2 linked regions of the Caenorhabditis elegans genome follow. The main gene of each other region encodes a partner of the protein of the gene in region 2 in a complex. Each region holds a gene or a part of one and is shown on either strand. Other genes may lie near its edges. The genes, in order: pafo-1 and leo-1.

Region 1 (6,358 bases), on a different chromosome or scaffold from region 2:
CTTCGAAACAAAAGACCTTTCATTTAGTTAAACTGTTTTCCTTTCTTCTCACTTTCAGATCTCATTAATCAAAAAAATCTGTCCAGTATCAATCATCAGCATGTCAAACTTTGTTCCTGGCTACGTTCCAAGATAAGTGTTGTTCTCGAGAATTGTAATTTCGAATAAGATTTTTTGGAAGTCTTGAAGTATCTTCCCGCGAATTATGCTTCCTTCAACTGAATTATGACGGGATCTACGAAATATCCCGATTGACTTGGTCATAATCTATGCACCTTGTTAAATGTGATTCAATACTATTTTTGTAATTTTTATGATTTAAGGTGCTACTTAAGTATACAAAGTTTCCTGAAAGTAGAGTTGGATTTTTCATTTCTCAATTTTTATAACTCTCTTCTGTGGCATTTTCGACATTCAGACTGTTTTCAAGCAAAATTCAAATTCGCACTATTACATTTTCAAATTGGAATTCTTGGCTCTAAATTTTTATAATAATTTTTTAACGCCAAAGAAAGTCACACTGCTGAAGATCGTTGAAAGGTCGTTTGGAAAACAGGTGCTAATGATTATCGAGAATTGACAGTCTGAAACTTTTTCCAGTGTCCGTTAGAAGATTACAGTGTGCACAGCGAAAGAAAATATTCTGGTAGACTTGTTATGATAATTCAATGATTTAAAAAAAATTTCAATATCAAGTCTAAGACTTCTATGACATGATTCTCTGATCATTTTCGTATTTCCTACGCCAATATGCCCACGATTGTATTTTATGTCAATCTAATAAAAAACCTACAGTGTTCCCATTCTTCACGCACGTGGTTTTCTCTTTCAACAAGTGAAACTGGGGGAAGCCTCTCGCGCGGGTGTTGGTAGAAGCATCGAGGCAGTTTTGTTGAAGTTTTTGTAAGCACACACACACACCCACCCCCACCCACAGACAGGCACACACAAAAAGAGCCGAGAGAGAAAGCTACAACAAGCGGCGTGTTGCGGAAGAAACAGAAACTGGTAATATTAATGTTATGCCAAAATATCATGATAATGATGAGGATCTGTGAACGGTGGCATTGAAAACTATTTTCATATTTTGACAAATTGAACGGATTTCCATTCCAATAGTTCCATAATTGTACTTTTTTAAATGTGTTTCTGTCCCCAGAAAACTTTCTTATTCCGGGAACAAAAAATTATGAGAATCCATATTGCGTAACATGTTTGACGCTCAAAGTATCACGAAAACTACAGTAATTCTTGAAATGACTACTGTAGTGCTTGTGTCGATTTACGGGCTGGAATTTTGAAATGAATTTCTTTTGGAATACAGTGCTTTTTTTACAACTTCTACGACTTTAAAGGCGCGCGCATTTTCGCGCAATGGTCTCGCCACGCGCATCCCTTTGATTTGTTGAGCGCGTGGCGAGACCAATGACGGGACCATTTTGTATAAATACGCGCGCCTTTAAAGTCGTAGAAGTGGAAAAAAAATGCACTGTAGTTTCGAAAATCTATTGCTACAGTAGTCATTTAAAGAATTACTGTAGTTTTCGCTACGGGATATATTCAATGTTTCGCAATACGCATTCCAATCAGAACGGTAGTTCGAATTTCCCCCAAAACTAAACGTCTTGCCCTCTGATCCTGTTGCTTCCGCATGACAAATCAAAGAATAGAACGTGGAGCACATAAGCGCAAGCAACAGACACCTACACAAACAGAACTTTGCGGGTGTTGGTGTTTCCGCTGTTGGTTTTTTCTTCAATTGTGAGTCAAATCATACTTGCACTTTTAGCGAAGATTCATGAAGATCAATCGAACAAATAGTTGAAATCGTTATCAAGTTTACTGAGAAAAACCAATTTGATTAGGTAAAATAAATAGAAAAACAATTTTAAAAATTTGAGATCAATCACTGTCGCTGTCAACAGTCGGTTCCTTTTTCCGTGGTGAATCGTCATCTGATGAAACGTCCGAAGAGCTATCAGATCGTGATTTCTGCGGCTTGTCGTCATCAGAATCACTGCTCTGATCTGAACTGTCTCCTGAAAAATTGCATGTTCGCGTGGAAAATAACACTTCAAAACTTAAATTTACTCACCACCTTCTTCTTTCTTCTCTTGAATCTTTTCCAGAATCTCTTGTTTTCTGGTCTTTGGCTGTTCGTATAACTCAGCCTCTCTTTTATTCATGTCTTTTTGTTCCAGTTCGGAAGGATTTCGGTATGTGAGTGTCAATTTGGATTTTCTGCTCAATGCCATTTTTGGTTTTCTTGTCATCTTGACATTACAGTCAACTTCGTTGTACTGGAAAACGTTATTACGATGATACATAATGAAGACGTCACGATCCCTTGGTGGCAAGTGTTCCATTTTAAATGTGTATTCACGGCTTAGCAAGAATTCGTACTTCATATCCTCATCAAATGGTCGTTCTAACTCAAGATCATCCATAAAACTCGTAAGACATCCAATCGTTGGAACAAAAACTGCTGCAAATTTTTGATCTTCGAATTCCATGGCTTTAATAACACTGCTCTCCCGTGCTTGTTGTCGTTCATCTTCTTCTTCGAATTCTGTTGTTATAGTGTCTCCATCAAATTGTACATGAGCAAAGAGGTGTTTCCAGTGATCGAAATCAGGGAAGACAAAGCTTTCTTCAACAGCTTTTACACCCTTCTTGGAGTAATGCTCCTTGACGGGTTTACGAACCTAAAATACGCAAAAGTAGATTTAAATCAAAAAAATATATTCTGGTACTTACATCTTCAAATGTCTTGTTAATGGCATCAATTTGACTCTGCTTGTCACGATACATATCTTCAACTTGTTGATTTTTCTTCAAGTTATAACCAAGCTTCGTCTCCTGTCTATCGGCTGTCACACCGAACCGATTGAATTCAGTTGAAATGTACTCGGTTTTTCTCATCCATGGAACAAGTTTAGAATGCTGTTGAGATCGTTTTGCAATCAATTTAGCGGCGCCATCATCTTCCAGTAAAATATTGTCTTTCTCATCAATTTCCTAAAAGTGAAACATTTCTATCTTTGAAACTGTATATTTCAGGAAAAAACCTACAGTTTCGATTGGATCTTCGTCGTATTTTTTTAGATCAATCAAATCGACATTCAAACCCATGTCGTCGTCACAAATGACTGCATGCTTGTAATCTCGATAAATGGCAGCAGGTTGGAATTCGACAAATCTAAATTCAGAGATATTGAACAATGTCAAACGTTTCAAAATTGGTGTACCTTCCCAGAGGAACAAATGGACAAGTCATAAACTTTGCATCAAATGGGACATCAGGAACAGTATTGGTAAATCGAGGTTTCAGCATGAAATCCACTTTTCGTCTGCAAAATGTTTTCAAAACTTTTCTAGCGATTCAAAACAATAATACTTACGGAGGTTCAATCCTTTTGGCATCTGAGGATTCTTGGGGCATTTTTTATAGTAATTTAGTTATAATATTAAGATACCAATCGGCAGAAACGGCTGCAAATCGAAAAAACTAGTCACCGAGGGAATTAAATTCAAACTCTCACACACGGGTTTTGCGCAAGCGCTCAATGCGCGTCAGCAGGGAACAATGGCGCATAACCAGTTTTGCGCGGGTGTTCAAAAAGTATTTTTTGTTTTGTGAATTTCCAGCGTTCTCGTCACGATAATATTTATTTTATGACAAAATGCCATCATTAACATGATAATATTGTAAAAGGGACAATAATGTAAATATAAAGGTGACAATGAATGGTCCAGCAATGTAGAGAGCCAATGCTCCTTTCTGGAAAATTATATAAATGTGGGGTTGTGAACTTTTAAAGCCTACATTATCATGATCATCGTGCATTCCGATACTTTCACGCTGAACAAAGCTAACAGTATTCTCCATTTCAGCATTTAGCTCTTCACTACTTCCAAAGAAAACATCCCACAGCCAAGATCCGAACATTTTTTCCGAATTCCTTTCACAGCAGAGTGTACCATAATAAACTCGATGCTGGTATGTATGAACACATCGTCCCACTTTTTTCTTGTCACATAACTTCATGAATGTTTCCTCGGTTAGATTGAATGGCTTGAGAATTTCCTTCGAAGCACAACCAGAGGCAAATAGAAATGCGTGTTGCTCATTTCGAACGATTTCAGTGAGCATAATTTGTTGAAAGCATGTCTTGAAACCGGAAGTGCAGTTTTTGTACATGAAAGTTCGAAGTTCTTTGTGTCGAGTTCGGGATAAAATTGGGCAGGATACCTTGAATGAAATAATATTTTTACAATTTTCTAGAAAGATCTTATTTTGAAATTGCTCATAACCTACAAAAACATAACAATAGCAAAACAAATTGCGCCTAGTTTTTTGTCTATCTTTTTTTGTCTATCGTTTCTCTTTCATTAAAAATATTTGAAAGAAAATTTCCCAGGGACAACTGGAAAAGCTCAGGAATAGAACCAAGGAAAGTCCTTTATAACATCTCCTGTGTAAACCTACATTCACATTTTCCCCGTTCGCAACCAACACTTGATTGAAGAGCAAAACTGTATTAACCAAAATCGAAATTATCATAGTTTTCTTCATTGTCTAATTCTTTGATCTCTTCTCAGAAATTCCGAAATAAACTAAAAACTGCAATAAACCAAACTAATTATTGTGGCAGTTCATCACGCTGTTTATTTTGCAGAACAGAAGAGAAATACTATTGATAAGAAATAATAATCATCATTCATTGATTTTCGATTTCTGTTAATTCAATTCTATGCTTAAATTCTAGTGAAAATGTCTCCAAAATCAGTTGTGGTAACCGGATCCAATCGAGGATTGGGATTTGGATTAGTTCAACAATTTCTGAAAGATCCAAATGTTCAGCATGTCATTGCGACTGCAAGAGATGTTGATAAGGCAACTGTAAGTTTTTTCGAGTTTATTTATACTTTATCCGTTGCTGAGATTATAGTTATTTGTATTAGGTTTGTGTTCCTAATATTTGTATATGGTAAAAATTTCCCAACAACATGTATTGGACTACGGCATTCTTAATTTCCAATTTTTCAGGCTCTCAAGGGAATTTGTGATCCACGACTTCACATTCTTCAACTCTCACTCGGATCCGATGAATCAATTGCAAATTTTGCTGAAAAAGTGTCTGAAATTGTTGGAGAATCTGGATTAACTCTTCTTATAAATAATGCAGCTGTGATGCTTCCATATGTAACAAAACAAAAACCTGATCGAAAAGTTGTTCTGGATTTGTTTGAGTCAAATACAATTGGTCCAATGATGCTTACACAAAGCCTTGTACCACTCATAATCAAAGCTTCGAAACGACAGGAAGGCGATACACTTTCCGTTTCTCGTGGTGCAATCATTAATATTGCATCCGAATTTCTTGGTTCAATTTCTGAAAATACCAGTGGTTCTGGTGAATATAAAGCAATGGCATATCGAATGACGAAGTGTGCGGTGAATCAGTTTACAAAAACTCTCTCAATTGATCTAAAAGATGATCATATTTTAACAGCTGGAATTTGTCCAGGAATGGTTCAAACTGATATGAGTAAAGGGAAAGGACAACTTACTGTAAGATCATGCTTTTGAATTTCATAGTTATAATTGTTCCTTTTCAGATTGAGGAATCTTCCTCACAAATATTGGCGGCATTCAACAAACTAGGAGCAACACACAATGGCGGATATTTCCGAAGAGATCTTTCAATTATTCCGTATTAAAGTTTTCAGCCCTTTTTTATCCATTTAATGATTGTTGTACGACTGATTTACTTTCACTGTGTTCTTCTTGGTTTTATTTAAATCTGTATTGTTTATGTGTTGTATCAAACTTCTTAGAAACTTCTTTCTGATAAAGTATTGAAATAGAATTAACATTGAAGTAAACAATCAGATATGGGGACCTAAAAGATCAAGATGCAAAAATTTCAAAATTTGGTGCAATAAGCGGCAGGATTTGAAGCATATCGAATGATCATATCTCTTGAACGTTTCAAATCACGAAAAATCTGACGATCCGAGAAGCCTTGAGATAATTTTGCACAATTTGTCCTTTTTCGTAGTCAGTTAAAGTTATTCCACGACACATAGCTGTAAAAACACAAACGAGCATGAAACCTAACGTTTAGCAAAAAAAAATTGCAAAAAAAAACGAAAAAAGAAAACAAAAACCAAGGGTGGCCGTATCATTTTGTGGATTTTTTTATATGGTTTTTCATCAAAAAATGGTTTATCTTTTTTTACGAACGGTTCATGTATATTTCCAATACTTATCTGAAAGTTAGCCAGTACAGCGAACATTTTCACAAGAAACTATGTTTTGCTATCTCAACCCAGTTTTGAGTTATACCAAAAT
Region 2 (6,190 bases):
GAATAAAAATGGCTCACGAGAGGCTTGTTTCTGAGTTGGACGATGACGAGGAAGCTTGGATTGCATATGGAGCATGGGCAGATATTGAACTTAAATTGCCACAGGTAAGGAAATACTTTTTATTATAGAATTATCGGAAATATCCAGAGGTCTGTCTAGAGATTATAATTATCTTTAAGATTCGAAAAAAATATTGTTGAATATTATTATTTTACTAAAGCTTCCATTGGATTATTGAATTATTTTGTTCAGGTTGCTGTAAAAGTGTACTCTCGAGCTCTGCGTCATTGTCCATACAGTTTTGTTCTCCATCAACAAGCTCTTCTCGCCTTCGAACGAGATCGTCGGCCAAATGAGGAAATTGATGCATTATGGGAACGAGCAAGAAGCAATGTTATCAAGTTAGTTTCTTTTTTGAATACATACAGTAGTCTTATATATTTATTCGGTGTAATTTCAGTTCTGCCGAAGAAGGACGGAGTCTTTACCGTACCTATGCTTTTTTGCTTCGCCGTCGAATTCATCTCACTGGTTCTTCGGATTACTCTCCAATGGCTGAAGTGTTTGATGAAGGTGCAGCGCTACTCAGAGAATGGTTTTCAATGGCTTGGGATACTACAGCAGATTATCGACAAATGCAAGCATATTTCTATGCTTCATTAATGAAGAACATGGACAAATGTCGAAATATCTGGAATGATATTCTTGCATCAGGATTCGGAAGATTTGCCGGAAAATGGATTGAAGCTGTTCGTCTTGAGCGACAATTCGGTGATAAAGAAAATGCTCGAAAATATCTAAACAAAGCTCTCAATTCTGTATCGGATAACATCAACGAAATCTATATGTACTATGTTCAATTTGAAAGAGAAGAAGGAACATTGGCTGAGTTGGATTTGGTTCTTGAGAAAGTGAATTCACAGGTTGCTCATCGAGCCATTCGACCACAAAAGAAAGTTTCTGAGAAACCAGCTCCAGCTCCTAAATCAAAGCAAGATCATATTCAGAAGAGAACGTCGGGAGGTGAACCAATTGTAAAAAAAGTGAAAGGAGACGACGGAGGTAAATAATTTTTAAAAGTAAAGAAGTTAATTTGAATTAAATTTTAGGATTCAAAGCTCCACTTCCACCATCCAATGCGAAAAGTTCATCAGCTGTATCCTCTTCAAATGCTTCGTCGACACCAGCTCCAGGTTCCTTTGCAGTTCAGAAAGCAGCTCCAGGAACGGAAGATGCTCGCACAATTTTTGTTTCTAATCTCGATTTCACTACGACGGAAGACGAAATTCGACAAGCCATTGAAGGTGTTGCTTCAATTCGATTCGCAAGAAAAGCGAATTCGGATCTTGTGCACAGAGGGTTCGCCTATGTTGTAATGGAGAATGATCAGAAGGCACAGCAAGCTCTCTTGAAAGATCGAGTTCCTGTGAAGGGAAGGCCAATGTTTGTAAGTTTTAATTTTACTTTATAAATATTTGTGAAATTTTAATTTCTGAAAATTCAGATCTCCGCCAACGATCCAGAAAAACGGGTTGGATTCAAATTCTCAACCACTCTTGAAAAATCGAAAGTCTTCGTTCGCAATGTCCACTTCCAGGCAACCGACGATGAGTTAAAGGTAATATATACTTATCTATCATTTTATATTCTAAATCGATACATTTCAGGCATTATTCTCGAAATTCGGTACAGTAACCAGTGTTCGACGCGTGACTCATAAAGATGGAAAACCAAAAGGAATCGCATTCGTAGATTTTGACACAGAAGCAAGTGCTCAAAAATGTGTTGCTTCTGGTGATAAATTGATGCTTCGAGAAAGAGAACTAGAGGTAGCGTTATCCAATCCACCAGTAAAAAAGGATAAATCGCATGGAAAACCAGCAGCAATTGGAGCAAGTTTGGAAGAAGATGGACCTAGAAAAGGACATGCTGCAAAACTGCAATTGGTTCCCAGAGCTATTAGTAAGTATATCATCTTTAGTTCCCAGCTTAGCATAAAAAAATCCATTTTCAGCAAACAAAACTCCTCAAATCACTGCTCGGCTGGACGCAATGGATGTTTCCGAAGGCACTTCAACGTCTCAGCCACTTTCAAATGATCAATTCCGTAAAATGTTTATGAAAAATTAGGGCCGTTTTTCACCAGAAACTTTCATTGTTCATATCAAGATTCATTTAGTTATTTAATTTCTATTACGTTCCCCAGTGTCTCCTTTCCAATTAAAATTCCGGTAGATGCTATTTTTGATGTTCTCGCTATAATTATATTTGTTCTTCACTACGAATTGCAAGATTTAGTTTCATAACTGTTCATAATCCTTGTTTTCTTTTTGTTTGCTAATAATTTGTAATAGAGATCCCCCAATATTCATTTTCAACTTATTGCCTATGGATAAGAAAATCTGAATTTTCAACAACTACTTTTATTATTCAATTTTTATCGGTATATTCGACCCCAAATTATTACTTTGTTTTGCTACTTTCGCTATTCAAAGAACTTAGGTATGCAATATTTTCAATTCAGATGTCATCTTCTGAGGGTAATTCTGACGCTTCTGCACCAGGAACACCAGTTAAATCGTAAGTAAATGGTAATTGTGTTTCTAAAATAATATAATTCAATTCAGATCAACTCCATCTTCTCGTGGATCGTCGCCAGATTCACCAAAAAAACAAGAACCGTCTAAGAAAAGAGCGATATTAAATGAGTCCGACGATGATGATGATTCTCGTCCTGCTCCTCGACAATTGTCCGATTCTTCTGACGATAACATTCATCCGAGAGGAGGAGGTGAAAAGAGTTCCCCCGGTGCTGGTGGTGGTTTGTTCGGTGATCTCTCTGGCTCTTCCGACGATGATTCCGACAGAGAAGGAAAGCCGAAAGAATCAAATACAAGAGCACGATTGTCAGATTCCGATGCGGAGAGTCGTGGAAGTTTGAATGATTTGCAAGGAATTGTGATGGCTAATCCAGATGAAATAGATGAAGATGAAAAAGCAAAGGAGCATGTTCATGATACTGAAGTAAACATTTTCAATGAAATAATGTGATTAAAACATTGATTTTCCAGATGGTAACAGGTCGTGTTACTTTGGAGTACGCTGCAGATCCACCACATTTTGTCAGAATGCCAAACTTTCTATCAGTCGCCACTCATCCATTTGATCCACAACATTACGAGGAAGACGAAGATGATGAGCAGGCGAAATTGGATGATGAAGGACGAACACGTCTCAAATTGAGAGTATGTCTGTGTTATAAATACATCTCATCAAATATACAATTTTTAAGGTGGAAAATACACTTCGCTGGCGAGTTCGCAAAGATGAAAATGGAAAAGAAATTCGAGAGAGTAATGCAAAAATTGTAAAATGGGACGATGGAACGTTAGTTTTCAATTGATGCAAAATTTCCATATCGTGACTTAATTTCAGAATGTCTCTATACCTCGGAAACGAAATTTTCGAAGTCTCATTGGTGCCGCTGAATTCCAATAATCTTCCCCATCTTTACGTTAAGCAGCCAACATTAATGGTATTTTGATTGTTAATGTTTTTATTTTAATCAAAATTTATGTCATTTTTAGTCGGCTCAAGCTGTTCTTACACATCGTATGACCTTCCGTCCTCACTCGACTGATTCCCAAACTCACAGAAAAGTCACACTCAATATGGCAGATCGAAGCAGGAAGAATGCTCAAGTTAAAGTCATGGACGATGTTGGTCAGAATCCGGAAATTACACGGCGTGAGAATGCCCGGAAGGAGGAAGAATCACTTCGTGCACACATCCGACGTACTCAGATGGTTCGGAATAACTTTAAAGTTCGTGGTCCGAGATATGCAGGACAATATTCTGATGATGAAGATATGCCAACGTCATCCAGAAAAGGAAAGAAGAAGGAAGCACCAATTATTGGTAAGTTCAATTTAATTTTGATTAGGACTTTACCAGAATAAAGAAACTGTACTACAATAATATATTTCAGGTGCCAGCTCAGAAAGTGAGGACGATCATGCGGATACCACAAAGAAAAGCGGATCGGATAGCGATTCTGATGAAGAGTACCGAAAGAGAAAACAACAACAAAAGAAACAGATTGTCACCAGTGACGAAGAATCTGACTAAATTTATTTCAATTTTGATCCTCACAATTTTATATTTCGCGAATTCAATATTTCTCCCTTTACAATATTTCGAAAATGTTTTCCTTTCCTTATTTATTTTAGTCTTCGATATTTCGAGATAATGAAACATCCACAATATTATGAAAAACCGAGCTTTTATTTCTTAATTTCAATCAGATTGTATGTAATATTTAAAATCATACATCCACTACGTCTTCCTCGCTTCTCAAAGAATTGGCATCAAGTGTCGTATCATAAATTCTGAAACTTGAAATAATCTACGATTTCAGAATTCTCAAAATCAAACCTCCGTGTTTTATCGTTTTCCATTGCTCTTGGGGAAATCGATACATTTAATATCAACTGAGCTTCTTCTTGATTTCCAGAGCTTCTCGATCGCAGTAAAAACATCAATATAATGATTTGAAAGAAGATTCCATAAATTAAAATTCGAAAAACTATAGGTTTTGACTTTTGATTCCAGAGTATTTTAAACATCTTTGTGGAAAATGTAGGAAATGATTTTTCACGTTTGATAAAGAAACTGACTAATAAATTTTTACATCTAACAACAAATCTTTGAATCAATCATATTATAATATACACGGAACCACTATGTCCGAAAGATTTAAAATTTAAAAAAATTGAAATTGAAAAAAGTATTCATTGAATATTAAAATGGATTTGAGGATATTTGTGGCCCTAAAGAGGGCCGTTGGGTTCGGTTAAGTTTTGAGATTAAGCTTGCTCAACTACCAAAAAAGGTATTTAAGCGCGCTCTCCTCGGATGCGTCTGGCCAATTGGATATCCTTTGGCATGATGGTGACTCGCTTAGCGTGGATGGCACACAAGTTGGTGTCCTCGAAGAGTCCGACAAGGTAAGCCTCGGCAGCCTCCTGAAGAGCCATGACAGCGGAAGATTGGAATCGAAGATCGGTCTTGAAATCCTGAGCAATCTCACGAACAAGGCGCTGGAATGGTGCTCTGCGGATTAGAAGTTCGGTTGATTTCTGGTAACGTCTGATCTCACGAAGAGCGACGGTTCCTGGGCGATAACGATGTGGTTTCTTGACTCCTCCGGAAGCTGGAGCCGATTTGCGGGCAGCTTTGGTGGCCAATTGCTTTCTTGGAGCCTTTCCTCCGGTCGATTTACGGGCGGTTTGCTTGGTACGAGCCATTGCGTTTAGGTTGATAATCCGTGGGGACTGTAAAAAAGAGAAACCAACGACTGCCTTTGTACGCAGCTGCGGTGGGAGGGCGGGCGGGCGCACTTCTGTCCTTGTGGCAATTAGAACATTCGGTGTGTTACAGACAAAGGAAAGGTGTCCTCGCAGAGTGGTGCAATGTGACTCCGCCTAGCCACCACAGCTGTGTACAAAAGGAATACTGTGATGTCATTTCTTCATCTCACTTGTGAGTCTTCAACGAATTCAACAATGTCCGGACGTGGAAAGGGAGGAAAAGGCCTTGGAAAAGGTGGTGCCAAGCGCCATCGCAAAGTTCTCCGTGATAACATCCAAGGTATCACCAAGCCAGCCATTCGCCGTCTCGCCAGAAGAGGAGGAGTCAAGAGAATCTCCGGATTGATCTACGAGGAAACCCGTGGAGTCTTGAAGGTGTTCCTTGAGAACGTCATCCGTGATGCTGTCACCTACTGCGAGCACGCCAAGAGAAAGACCGTCACCGCCATGGACGTCGTCTACGCTCTGAAGCGCCAAGGAAGAACTCTGTACGGATTCGGAGGATAATTATTATCTTTTCTGTTTTCATACAAACCAAATACCGAACCCAACGGCCCTCTTTAGGGCCACAAATATCCAAAATCCTAATTGATCTCGTTAAATAAATCTTAAATAATTTTGATTTTTCTATTTTAGCATTTTCAAATACAAGTTGACATGATATTTTCTTTATTGCTTTGCACAACTACATACTTTTTTTAAATTTAAAATTAGAATTGCATGCAAGTAGACATTCGGTATTCGATTTTCTTCGTTCGTTCTCAATTTTATTTACAAAAGGGTATATGAAAGTCTGCACAGTTTTGTTTCCCGAACCATAT

Evidence for each region.
Region 1: leo-1 (region 2) and pafo-1 share a complex: the UniProt entries of both Caenorhabditis elegans proteins name them as parts of the PAF1 complex.

The regions. Positions count from the first base shown.
Region 1 is NC_003283.11:11,518,850-11,525,207, reverse strand, and holds pafo-1 (RNA polymerase II-associated factor 1 homolog), read right to left. Parts: upstream 3,506-6,358; 5' UTR 3,443-3,505; coding exon 3,402-3,442; intron 3,351-3,401; coding exon 3,249-3,350; intron 3,200-3,248; coding exon 3,073-3,199; intron 3,019-3,072; coding exon 2,758-3,018; intron 2,706-2,757; coding exon 2,096-2,705; intron 2,040-2,095; coding exon 1,903-2,039; 3' UTR 1,824-1,902; downstream 1-1,823. Other genes in the region: C55A6.11 (uncharacterized protein), read right to left, coding at 3,674-3,781, 3,827-4,252, 4,490-4,576; C55A6.7 (DeHydrogenases, Short chain), read left to right, coding at 4,775-4,903, 5,051-5,575, 5,623-5,724. UniProt on the Caenorhabditis elegans protein: Component of the PAF1 complex which is a multifunctional complex involved in transcription initiation via genetic interactions with TATA-binding proteins, elongation and transcription-coupled histone modification.
Region 2 is NC_003282.8:11,325,704-11,331,893, reverse strand, and holds leo-1 (RNA polymerase-associated protein LEO1), read left to right. Parts: upstream 1-2,524; coding exon 2,525-2,580; intron 2,581-2,627; coding exon 2,628-3,024; intron 3,025-3,071; coding exon 3,072-3,245; intron 3,246-3,292; coding exon 3,293-3,387; intron 3,388-3,435; coding exon 3,436-3,535; intron 3,536-3,587; coding exon 3,588-3,918; intron 3,919-3,988; coding exon 3,989-4,128; 3' UTR 4,129-4,273; downstream 4,274-6,190. Other genes in the region: sart-3 (Spliceosome associated factor 3, U4/U6 recycling protein), read left to right, coding at 1-104, 253-401, 461-1,062, 1,110-1,447, 1,505-1,618, 1,668-1,962, 2,015-2,130; B0035.21 (Kinesin motor domain-containing protein), read right to left, coding at 4,325-4,388, 4,435-4,538; his-45 (Histone H3), read right to left, coding at 4,896-5,306; his-46 (Histone H4), read left to right, coding at 5,565-5,876. UniProt on the Caenorhabditis elegans protein: Component of the PAF1 complex which is a multifunctional complex involved in transcription initiation via genetic interactions with TATA-binding proteins, elongation and transcription-coupled histone modification.